Xenopus tropicalis: one gene and its partners. The protein of the gene in region 2 purifies or fractionates together with the protein of the main gene of each other region. This does not show direct contact. Links are inferred from orthologs where the notes say so. Each region holds a gene or a part of one and is shown on either strand. Other genes may lie near its edges. The genes, in order: pabpc4, atxn2 and lsm12.

Evidence for each region.
Region 1: the proteins of atxn2 (region 2) and pabpc4 purify together in Homo sapiens (affinity purification with mass spectrometry; 4 studies listed by BioGRID and IntAct, with this or other methods). This does not show direct contact. The link is inferred for Xenopus tropicalis from reciprocal best matches to the Homo sapiens genes ATXN2 and PABPC4.
Region 3: the proteins of atxn2 (region 2) and lsm12 purify together in Homo sapiens (affinity purification with mass spectrometry; 4 studies listed by BioGRID and IntAct, with this or other methods). This does not show direct contact. The link is inferred for Xenopus tropicalis from reciprocal best matches to the Homo sapiens genes ATXN2 and LSM12.

Annotation. Positions count from the first base shown.
Region 1 is NC_030678.2:91,027,765-91,031,417, reverse strand, and holds part of pabpc4 (polyadenylate-binding protein 4), read right to left. Parts: intron 2,129-3,653; exon of another isoform or gene 2,000-2,128; intron 987-1,999; coding exon 793-986; intron 718-792; coding exon 602-717; intron 178-601; coding exon 38-177; intron 1-37.
Region 2 is NC_030677.2:163,120,740-163,124,392, forward strand, and holds part of atxn2 (ataxin-2), read left to right. Parts: intron 1-493; coding exon 494-678; intron 679-1,168; coding exon 1,169-1,378; intron 1,379-3,653. UniProt on the Homo sapiens protein: Involved in EGFR trafficking, acting as negative regulator of endocytic EGFR internalization at the plasma membrane.
Region 3 is NC_030686.2:18,356,924-18,361,229, reverse strand, and holds the start of lsm12 (protein LSM12 homolog), read left to right. Parts: upstream 1-1,499; 5' UTR 1,500-1,616; coding exon 1,617-1,737; intron 1,738-4,306. UniProt on the Homo sapiens protein: Nicotinic acid adenine dinucleotide phosphate (NAADP) binding protein. Confers NAADP sensitivity to the two pore channel complex (TPCs) by acting as TPC accessory protein necessary for NAADP-evoked Ca(2+) release.

The DNA of each region.
Region 1 (3,653 bases), on a different chromosome or scaffold from region 2:
TTGCACAAAGTAGAAATAAGCGATCTCACACAGTTACCATATTTGCTAAATGTCTCCTTTAACCGTTCATCATCCATGTCTTCTCCAAAATTTTTGATATAAACATTTGTGAACTCCTTGGCTTTGGCTCCAAGCTCTGCTTCTCGTTCTCTACGGCATTTAAACCTCCCAACGAACCTGCAAGGGAAAACACTTCCTTTAAAACCTTCTCTTGTACACACCTCCCCGATTTCCCATTTACAACCTACCCTCTTTGCTAATGCACATACCCATCCATAAATTTTTTTTTACGTCTCAATTTTGTTCCCCATGCAAAATCTGTCTATATTTCCTTTCAATAAATATTGTGCCCCAATCCAGTACAACGCCATTTGCTTCACTCACACCCTGAATATACTACCCTCCTTCCAGATTTCCCATTTACAATTTACCCTCTTTGTTAATACACATACCTTTCCAAATGTTTTACTTTTTTAAATCCCAATTTTTTCCCCCCATAAATAAATGCAAATCTGTCTATCTTCCCTTTAAATAAATATTCTTCCCCAATCCAGTACACAGCCATTTGCTTTGCTCACACCCTGAATATAGTGCCTCTCACACTTTGCGGTCGTTGAGCAGCATGCCATTCATCTTTTCTATGGCTCGATCTGCAGCATCCTGAGTCTCAAAGTGCACAAAAGCATAACCCTTGGAACCATTCTCATCACACACTACCTACAAAAGAGAAAGTCTTTAATACCCTTTTAATAAGGGAGCACATGAAGGGTGGAAAGGTGGAAAAAATCTCACCTTACAAGAAAGGATATTTCCAAATGCAGAAAAAGTGTCATATAGTGCTTTATTGTCAATTGATTTGTCTAGGTTCTTTATGAAAACATTGCCAACTCCAGATTTCCTCAAGGACGGGTCCCGCTGAGACCACATAATACGTATGGGTTTTCCTTTAATAACATCAAAATTCATAGTATCCAAAGCACGTTCAGCTGCAAAGAAAATACAACACTATCATATCTGCTCTGTGTTCTCCCAGTGGTTCAAACAAAATCACCTCAGTCAGTCTGCAGAACCCCAAAACAGTAACAATCTATCTTCAAATCAAAATTACTAACCCACTATGGTGGCATACATGACAACCTTACCAAACCAGCACATCTTTGCTCAATTTGGCCACGTACGTTCTTGACCAAATCGGGCCAATCCAATTGTTTGGCTCCCAGGTCACACATCAGATCATAACAGGCCCTTTGGGAGTGGTCGGCATCAATGCCCCAATACAGTTCCCATTCTAGGGGATTTTAAAACCTTTCTAATTGATATCCAGTTGATTTTTAATGGAGGGTATAATACACGGGCGGAAAACCTGCAGACCCAGTCTAAAGGGGCCAAATTGGCAGCTTGCAAGGCCAGGTTTATTTTTCTGCAAACAAATAAAGGGGAAATTAAAGTGAAGAAATGTAGTGAGGAGCAGAGGAGTGGAGGGCTTTGAATGTTAGCAGAAGGATCATTTGCTTAAAGGAACAGTAACACCAAAAAATGAAAGTGTTTTAAAGTAATTGAAATATAATGTACCGTGGCCCTGCACTGGTAAAACTGGGCTGTTTGCTTCAGGAACACTACTATAGTTTATATAAATAAACTGCTGTGTAGCCATGGGGGCAGCCATTCAAACTGGAAAAAAGGAGAAAAGGCACAGGTTACATAGCAGATAACAGATAAGACACCATTGTATTCTACAGGGTTTATCTGTTAGCTGCTATATAACCTGTGCCTTTTCTTCTTTTGAATGGCTGCCCCCATGGCTACACACCAGGGTTTATATAAACTCTAGTAGTGTTTCTGAAGCAAACACAAAACTTTTACCAGTGCAGGGCAGCAGTACATTATAGTTTAATTTCTTTGAAATATATACATTTTTTGGTGTTACTGTTCCTTTAAAGCCAGATAATCACAGTTGTAAAAGCACATTTGTTCATTAGATTTTAAAAGCAACACAGCTGCATGTGGCTGAGGTGTAGGGACAGAACATAAAGTTAAAAACATGCTCCGTCTGGATTTCCTCTGCGTTTCTCTAGCACTTTGTTTCCTTTCTCTGCACTGCACAGCAGAAAGAGTGAGTTTTCAGTGCTTTATGAAGAAATCTAGACACTTTTTAAGCGTACTAAAGTCCATGAGCAAAGGAATACCCAACTTAAAATCTGTTTGTTTTTTTTATGTTAACGTTTTTAACTAGTACAGGTATGGAACTCATTATCCAGAATGCTCAGGACCTGGAGTTTTCCCAGATAAGGGGTCTTTCCGTAATTCATATCTCCTACCTAAAGTATGCTAAAAAAAAAATATTTAAACAGTAATTAAATCCAATAGGATTGTTTTGCCTCCAATAAGGATAAATTATACCTTAGTTGGGATCAAGTACAAGGTACTGTTTTATTATTCAGAGAAAAAGGAAATCATTTTTAAAAATGTGAATTATTTGATCAAAATGGAGTCTATGGGAGTTGGCTTTCCGTAATTCGGAACTTTCTGGATAAAGGGTCCAATACCCATTGATAAATACACTTCTAAAAATCCCATAGGAAAGAATATAACATGATTGAGTTTATGTATTAAGAGCTAAAGCAGGCATCCTCAAACTACGGCCCCCCAAGGTAATTTACCCGGCCCCCATTATGATCTGACGCGAGGACGCATGGGGGAGCGGACCGTAGTATGAGGACACGGGGGGAGGACTTTATTCCGGCCCCCCAACAGTCTGTGGGACCATGAACTGGCCCTCTCCTTAAAAAGCTTGAGGACCCCTGATCTAAAGTCACATTTTGATAAATCTGCCCTTTACCTTTTAATTGTTGAACAGCTCCAGTTCTAATTTAGCCTGTTTTTTTTGTTTTTTTTTAAACAGAACTAGGTTATCTTGCCGTATATGACTGTATCTTGAATAAAGGTGGCCACACACGTGGCGATTTGCGATCTTTCGTGCGACCATCGGTTGCACGAACGATCGTTCAATCCGCCACTAACATTCAGGGCTGAAACGGCAGATAAGGAGGTAGAAACAATAGGATTTCTACCTCCTTCTGCCGATTCAGCCCTGAAGGCAGATTTTGCTCAGGCACCTTCTATGGCGCCCAATCAAAATCTTTTAACTGCACGATCAGTGTGTCGACCGATATCAGCAGCCTCCTGCGATATCTGTCGATTCGCCGACTTGCCATACAGGCCAGCTTAAGTTTTCCTTCTGTAGCCAAGCATCTGCTGATAAAAATCAGCATGATTCTACCAACATTCTACCAACATTCTACCAACAGTGGCATACAAGTTACTGGGCCTCACAACAAAATAATTTTACAGCCTACTACATTTTGGGAATACGTTTTTATAATCATTACTAGATAACAACAAAAAAAGTGATTGAGATACAAAAGGCTCAGTCAAAGCTCTCAGCTCAATTCAGAGAAGCATCTGTGTCTATATTTGAAAACTGAGATTAGCTCAGCCTAAACTGCAGTGTACTGCAGTACATGATGCTTTAATAAAATACAAACAAAAAACAGCATCAGGGATAACCGTGTGCCTCCTGTTATTGTTCCAGCCTTATGCATTAATGCAACACAGTGTAGAGGTTGATATAAAAGACAAATTCATTTGCTAAC
Region 2 (3,653 bases):
ATATATATATATATATATATATATATATATATATATATATATATATATATATATATATATATATATATATATATATATATATATATATAATATATATATATATATATATATATATATATATATATATATATATATATAATATTATATATAAATATATATAATATTATATATAAATATATATAATATTATATATAAATATATATAATATTATATATAAATATATATAATATTATATATAAATATATATAATATTATATATAAATATATATAATATTATATTTTATATTATATTTTTATATATATATATAAATATATATAATATTATATATAAATATATATAATATTATATATAAATATATATAATATTATATATAAATATATATAATATTATATTTTATATTATATTTTTATATATATATAAATATATATAATATTATATTTTATATTATATTTTTATATATATATATTATATTTTTCTATGATGGTTTTGTAGAGAAAACAAGTACATTCCACCAGTGCAGAGGAATAAAGATGCCATGTTATGGACAACTCACAGTGGGAGGCAAACTTCTGCAAGGATTGGACAGTCTGGATCAGGGCCCATTCCTTCAAGGACAGGATCCCATTCTTCTGACTACAGCCCCAATGCTGGAGCTGATCAGAGAGTCATAAATGGAGGCAAGTAATTCATTAGCTGATCAAGGTTTTTAAAAAATATTTTTTAGTACATTTACAAATGTACTGTTTAAGTAGTATACTGTTGAATGGTAAGTGTTTTTATTTAGGGTGGTAGCTATAACATGATTTGATATGCTATTTCCTTTTGATTTAAGAAATACATACACATGCTGGTCTTCCCTAGGAAGAAAGTGGCATTGAAAGTTAAACTAAAAGGGGAGAAAGTAATTGAAAAAGGGTCAATTTAAAGTAACCTTTTGTGTAAATTAATGTACATTTTATCTTAATTATGGTGCATAAACTGTGTGAAATATGAGTCTTTTTGTAGCATAAAATATCTTTTGCTTCTCTTAAGACGTGCGAGAAACCATTTCCCCTCTGTTGTATTTTACTTTTTTTCTGTTGACTTGTTCCCTACCCCTTCATCTCATTATTTTTTTTTTTACTTTCTTTTATTATTACTTTTCCTTCATCTCATTTGTTCTGTCAGGTGTTCCCTGGCCATCGCCTTGTCCATCTCCTTCTTCCCGCCCACCTTCTCGCTACCAGTCAGGTCCCAACTCTCTTCCACCTCGGGCAGCCACCCCTACAAGGCCGCCCTCCAGGCCCCCTTCGCGGCCATCCAGGCCCCCGTCTCACCCCTCTGCTCATGGTTCTCCAGCTCCTGTCTCTACTATGCCTAAACGCATGTCTTCAGAAGGTACAACACCTCTGTTTTATTTTTTTTATTTTTTTCCCCTTTGTATTGTCAGTTCCATCATGCCTACAGCATAGGGAAACCATGTCTTCCATCTATAAGATGAGAGCATGATAGGTCTAGATTCATGCTGTTGTGATGGGTAAATATCAAAACATTTATAATCCCATTTCATCTTCTCCTTTGGTTTTCTGTGGCTCTTTTTGACAACCCTTAATTTTTGAGCCAAAAATGGCTTTAAAACTAAAATGCAAAATGTAAGGCATGTTTCATCCAATTACCTTAAAGGGATACTGACTGAATTTTTATTTTTATTTATTTTTTTTAAATTAGAATTTTGCCGTAAAATTGTTTTCCTACTGCTTTTTCATTACTAATCAGATTCCCCTCCCTCCCACATTTCTGTATTAGGGGCTGCCATATTAATGCTCAGGAGTCCGTTAGCATTAGAAGCTATAACTGACAGGCTGAGAAGGGACAGTCAGGTTTAGGAACGTCAAGTAGCCATTAATTACAAAAGCAAATCTATCGGTGAAAAATGATCAAAATGACCCATAGGTAACTTTAAATGTACATTAATTTTTTGAAGTCTAGTTTTTTAGTGTCAGTATCACTTTAAAAAAAAAAAAAAAATAGCAGTACCTGGAATTTAAGAGGTTTTTTTTTTTTGTTTTTTTTTTAAAAGAAACCTTATCTGCAATTTGTTGTTGTTTGGTTTTTTTTATTAATTTTTCCTCCTGTTTAAGGCTTCCATTTGTTGTATTTTCCTTATAAATAAGCATGGTCCCAGACCATGCTTATTTATAAGGAAGAACATGATTTTGGGCTCATACACAAGAAAATGCCATAGGCAGCATATTTCTTGTTGAAGTGGCTGTTGGCAGCTACAGGCATTTGAAGTTGTGTGTTTTTTTTTTTTTTTTTTTTTTTTTTTTTGTTTTTCTTGAGGGGACAATCTTACAAATATGCAATTGGCCTAAATTGGTAAGAAATCCTCTATTTTTCTGTGGTGCTACACACAGAAAAGTGGATATCCTACAGTGGCCCAGTCCAAGCTCTGATGTCGAGCATCATCTGACTTACATGCACAGTCTGGTCCAAATTGCAAAGCTGTCCCAAAATATGACCTGACGGTCTGTACAGACGGCTGTATGTAGGTAATTTTTTTTTATTCTACCTGTAGTTATTAGAGAATTTTACTGACTTTGGACTTGCTTGCTGTAATCTCATCCCCCACCTTTTGTCTTTAGCATATGGCTAAATGGCTCCTATTTTAGTTATAGCTGTGTTTTGATTGTCATATATACATTCCTTGTCAATAAGCCTCACCTCCCATTTTGAAAAAACCTAATAAAAATTTATGAATAAAATATGGTTAAGCTTAGTAACTTAATGTAAGTCATATGACTTTAAGTTATTAAGCTTAACCATATTTTATTCATTCATTTTGTCTTGCTTTGAGTATACAGCATAACGAATCCTTCAAAAACTATGCAAAGCGCTCTCGGGAGGCCAGGGCCATTCACAAAAACAATAATGTAGGCGATTGGGAGGCATCATTTATTGACCCAGCCACCTACAGCTGCTGTGCTGTATTGCTTTGCCTTTAATTTCCCTGACAATTGCCTTTATAAATAGTTGCCAGGGCAATGCATAATATGCTATGTAGGTACTTGTTTGTGCACTTTTAAATTGTGCATAGTTCTATTAGATAACAGAGTTGCTTTAAAGGTGTCCTTCTTGTAAAAGGCAAAATGTTAAAATGTGGTTACTTAATACTTCAGGTCACAGATCACAATCTCAGTTTAAGATTTGTTCCTTAAAATTAGACTGACAGACTAAGGTGTATGTTTAATGCATATATATTATTACACCCAGCCCCACTTCTTCTTTTTTTTTTTTTTGCTTTTTAAACAAAACAAAAAATCTAACACTGTATAAACATTCTTATAAATAAGCAGCTGACTGCACTCCTTTCTCATATTAGTAGTCTGTCTGGACTGTGTATGGGCCCAAAACAATGTTATCAAGTGCAACTGATTAGTTGAGGACAGCTTTGGCCTATAGATAAAGTTTGCATCCAGTGGGACTGCACAGGTCCTCCCCCACCTCTATTCAGTCTGATTTGTCCATCCAGCATGGGCAGACTCGGTTCAGTTGGCAGCACTGTGAAGTAACAGCCAGTGTTCAGTGGCTAATGTCACTGGTGACTGGCACGTTTGGTCTAGAATAGTGGTAATTGTAGGGGGAATTCTGCAGGGTACTTTAAAGCCTTTTA
Region 3 (4,306 bases), on a different chromosome or scaffold from region 2:
TTAAAATGGCAATTTTCTATTTAGGTTTACCCAGTGGCACATACTACTAAAAAGTATAGTTATGTAAAAATGGTTTATTTAAATGAAACAGGGTTTTACATAGGGGCTGGTTTATGCACTATATTTTATAGAGACCTACAGTACATTGTTCTGGGTATAGTTTTCCTTTAAAGGAGAAGAAAAGGTAAAATCACCAGGGGTTGTCAAATGTCAGGTACCACCCAGTGATTATAATCACTTACCTGGTATGATACCCTGGGCTGTTGCTCCTGTCAGCAGAAAACTGCACGCGTCTCTGAGTGAAGTGATCTTTTTCTTGATTCTTCCTTCTTTGTGTCATGTGTGTGTGTGCAGTTGATAATAAGTCAAACTTTAAGCAAAAAGTCTGCTTTTTGACCCCACTGGGCATGTGTTGACCCAGGGCTATTGAAGAATCAAGAAGAAAAAAGATGATTGCTCTGTGGTGCTCACTCAGAAGTACCAAGTGTCAGTGTAGTTTTCTGCCAACAGGAGCACTGGCCTGGGTATCAGGTGATTAAAATCACTGGGTGGGGGTACCTGACATTTCCTTCTCCTTTGAATTACTATTATATGCCCAACGTAAATTCTGGACTCCTTGTATTCACTATGGTCTTTACACAGACAGGGCAATGATGTATAGGTGGCATTTTATTCATTTCATGGTTTACTTTTGTGAAATTTATATCTGAACAGCAGTCTGTGGTGTTATCTTAGCATGATACAGTGGGCCTGGGCTGCATGGTCTGCTTTCTCCAATGTGGCATTTTATTCTCTGCTCACCAATGGCTCCCAAGTAGGAGTGGGGATTTACAGTATATGCAGGGCAGGGAGATGGAGGTGGGAAGGGGGCACCGGGCCCAATTTGTTCCCAATGTTATTCATTTTTACTACAAAGTTTGTACAAATTTGGTACAGTTTTACCAATGATAAAGAGATAGTGACAATTAAAGAGAAAAAAAAAACAGTTGAAATGCCATCCTGAATTTCAGCAGTATAGTAATACATTTCCTGGCCAGGCTTACCGATACCGATGTTATTCATTTTTACTATAAAGCTTGTACATATTGGTACAGTCTTTGCAAAGAGAGAGAAATGATTACAATGTCTTTCTTTAAAGCACTGGAATTTCAGCAGTACAGTGGCCTAGCCAGGGTTTTAGTGGAAAGCAGGCTGCACCTTAACTATCAGCAACTCAAACTGTATATATGTGTCTCAGAGAATTCAAACAGTACTGCTTTTAATTGCAGTTAAGTTTATAAACATTTTACTGCGTTATCAAGCGATTCAATCGCTTTGACAAGGTAACGTTTTTCCAATTACGGCGAAGGTCAACGTTTATGAATTTTATTAGCGTATCAATTCCCCTTTCAAGATGGAGGCAACAACCTACTCCTTTGTGGGCGTGGTAATGCCAAATCCTCTATTAACATGAAGACGCCCCACCAAAGATGGACGGAAATAGCGTGCTCTTTGGTAGGCGTGGTAACGCCGCGTCTCCTAGGCGATTTCCCAGCAGGCCAGAGTTTGACGCTGGCTTTTTAAGAATACGTGCTGAGGTCGTGTTGCTGTAGCACGTTACGCAGGCCGGCTGGAAGATGGCGGGTCCGGGGGAATACTTCGCCATTGGCGCCTATGTTTCATGCCGGACCTGCCAAGAGACGAGACTGCAGGGCGAGGTGGTTGCCTTTGACTACCCAAGCAAAATGCTGGCGCTCAGTATCCTTTATAGCGAGAAAGCGACGGATAATGTATAGGGAGCTAATCGGTGGGGGATGGGTACGAAGTGGGGGGAAGGGAGGGGCTGCCGAGAAAATGGAGTGAGGGAGCGGAAGGTTATGAAGGGGGAAAGGTGAGTGGGCTAGGAGAGACTGACAGGTGCTGGCTATTACATCGTATAATACGTATGGCAGTCCGCTGGCCCGATGGGAGAAGGGGAAGCGAGCGGTGGGGTTTGAATGGAGGAGGCGAGAGTGGGCTGTTTATGGGGACTCGGCATGTTTCTCTGGGAGGCGGAAGTAAGGCTGTCGGGGTGGCCTTGAAGGGTATAAGGGATGCTGGGGTGGGGGTTCTTATCAGGTGTTTGTGAGGGGATTGGGTGGGATGGGTGCTAGGTGTGGGCAGGGGATTTCAGTTTGTATGGAGAGTTGCCTGTGGGTGAGTAGGTATCACTGTGTCTGGGTGTAGGTGGTGTTTGTGGGTGGTGCTGTGTGACTGGGGGGCTTACTTGGCTGGCCGTTTCTTGTTTACTGGGTAGCAGTTGTTCTGGGGGGGTGTTTGGGGTATCGTGCTTTCAAAACGTGGTTTGAGGTGAGTCAGGGTGGGCAGTTCATGAGCTAGCATGTATGAGGTTGTGAGTAATATACGGTACACTGCAATGGCAGTCTAGCTAGTTACTATAGGGGGTTCACTGCTGCTCCAGTTGGCATTGATTGGAACATGCTGTTGTTGCATGTTCTAGGGGGATAGGTGATATGTTGGGGTTGGTCAGTTTGACAGCCTGATGTGCGAGTTGGGGTCAGATGTGACCAGAATTTAAACCCAGTCTCTGAACTGCTTCTGTGGTGAAAGCACACAAGAGGGGATTGGCATGGAGAAAATGATCAGTGCAGCATCTTTGCCCCATAAGCAGAATATTTAGAATTGCTTCCAGCATGAAAATACTACCAGGATACTTTGCTGGGTCCTGAAAGATCCTATGCCGGACACACTAACTTGTAGGCCAAGGTCCAATGGATGAGAATGCAGATCTTAACAGGTTCTTGATAGTTTTTGGGATGTATAAGGGTGAAGACACACTGAACTACTTAATAGCAGTTACTTGTCATGGCTACAAAACTCCAGAAAACAACCTGCCATAGACAATACTGAGAATTGCCTGTGCTAAAACACACACAGATAATTATCAGTAAACAATCAGCATTGTCTGTTAGTAGCCACGACAAGTAGCTGCTACTAGTATTTTCACCCTAAGGGCTGTGACAGTCGCCGCACGACAAATCTCCCCGAAATGCCATCCCATCGCCGGTGGGATGGCATACGTGACACGGTGATTTGCCAAAGTTGCCTTGAGAGGAAACTTCGGCGATTTCGGTGTTGCGTATGCCATCCCACCAGAAATTTACATTCTAGCCGGTGGGATGGCATTTTGGGGAGATTAGTCGCCTGCAACAAATCTCCCCGAAATGCCATCCCACTGGGAGTAGATGTATAATTCCGGGGGGGTGGCATACGCGGCACCTTGAGAGGAAACTTCCGTGATTTTGGGGAAATCGCAGCGCCACGTGTGCCATCCCGCTGGCGATTTACATTTTCGCCCGGTAGGATGGCATTTCGAGGGAGATCAGTCGTGCGGCACAACTAATCTTCCCGTGTGCCACAGTTCTAAAGGTCTCCCATACACAGGCCGATTATAGCTGCCGATAACGGTCCCTTGGACCGATTCGACAGCTTATCGGCCCGTGTAGGGGCAGAACTGAGGGGCCTGGCCGACCGATATCTGGCCTGAAATTGGCCAGATATCGATCTGCCAGGTAAGAAAATCCAGTCGGATCGGGGACTGGGTCGGCTTGTTGATGCGGTCCCCAAACCCACTGCCCCATTGCCGCATGTAGAATTCGATTGTTTGGCCCCAGGGCCAAACGATCGAATTTGCCTACATGCCTCCCCGATATCGCCCACCCGTAGGTGGGGATATCGGGTGAAGATCCGCTCGCTTGGCGACATCGCCAAGCGAGCGGATCTGCCCGTGTATGGCCAGCTTTAGGCTTCTCCAAATCTAAACTGTTTAACCCAAGGGATGCTGGTATGACTAGGGGATATGTAAATGACTGTGAGTATGAAAGGTGAGCTGTTTAGGAGTGAAATCAGGTGATTGTGCTGACTAGAGGTGGATTTATTGTTCCCTAAAGGTGGCCATACACGCACCGATATTATCGTACGAAACCTCGTTTCGTACGATAATCGGTGTGTGTATGGCATGTCGGCGAGTCGACCGATATCGCAGGAAGCTGCCGATATCGGACGACTCGCCGATCGGACAAGTTTGAAAATTTTGATCGGGCGCCATAGAAGGCGCCTGACCAAAATTCTCCCTTCAGAGCTGAATCGGCAGAAGGAGGTAGAAATCCTATTGTTTCTACCTCCTTACCTGCCGATTCAGCCCTGAATGGTGTGTGGCGGATCTTACGATGTTTCGTGCGACCGATGGTCGTACGAAACATCGTCGGATCGCCACGTGTATGGCCACCTTTAGTCTCCTGATAAATAGCTGATTTTGCTATGATGT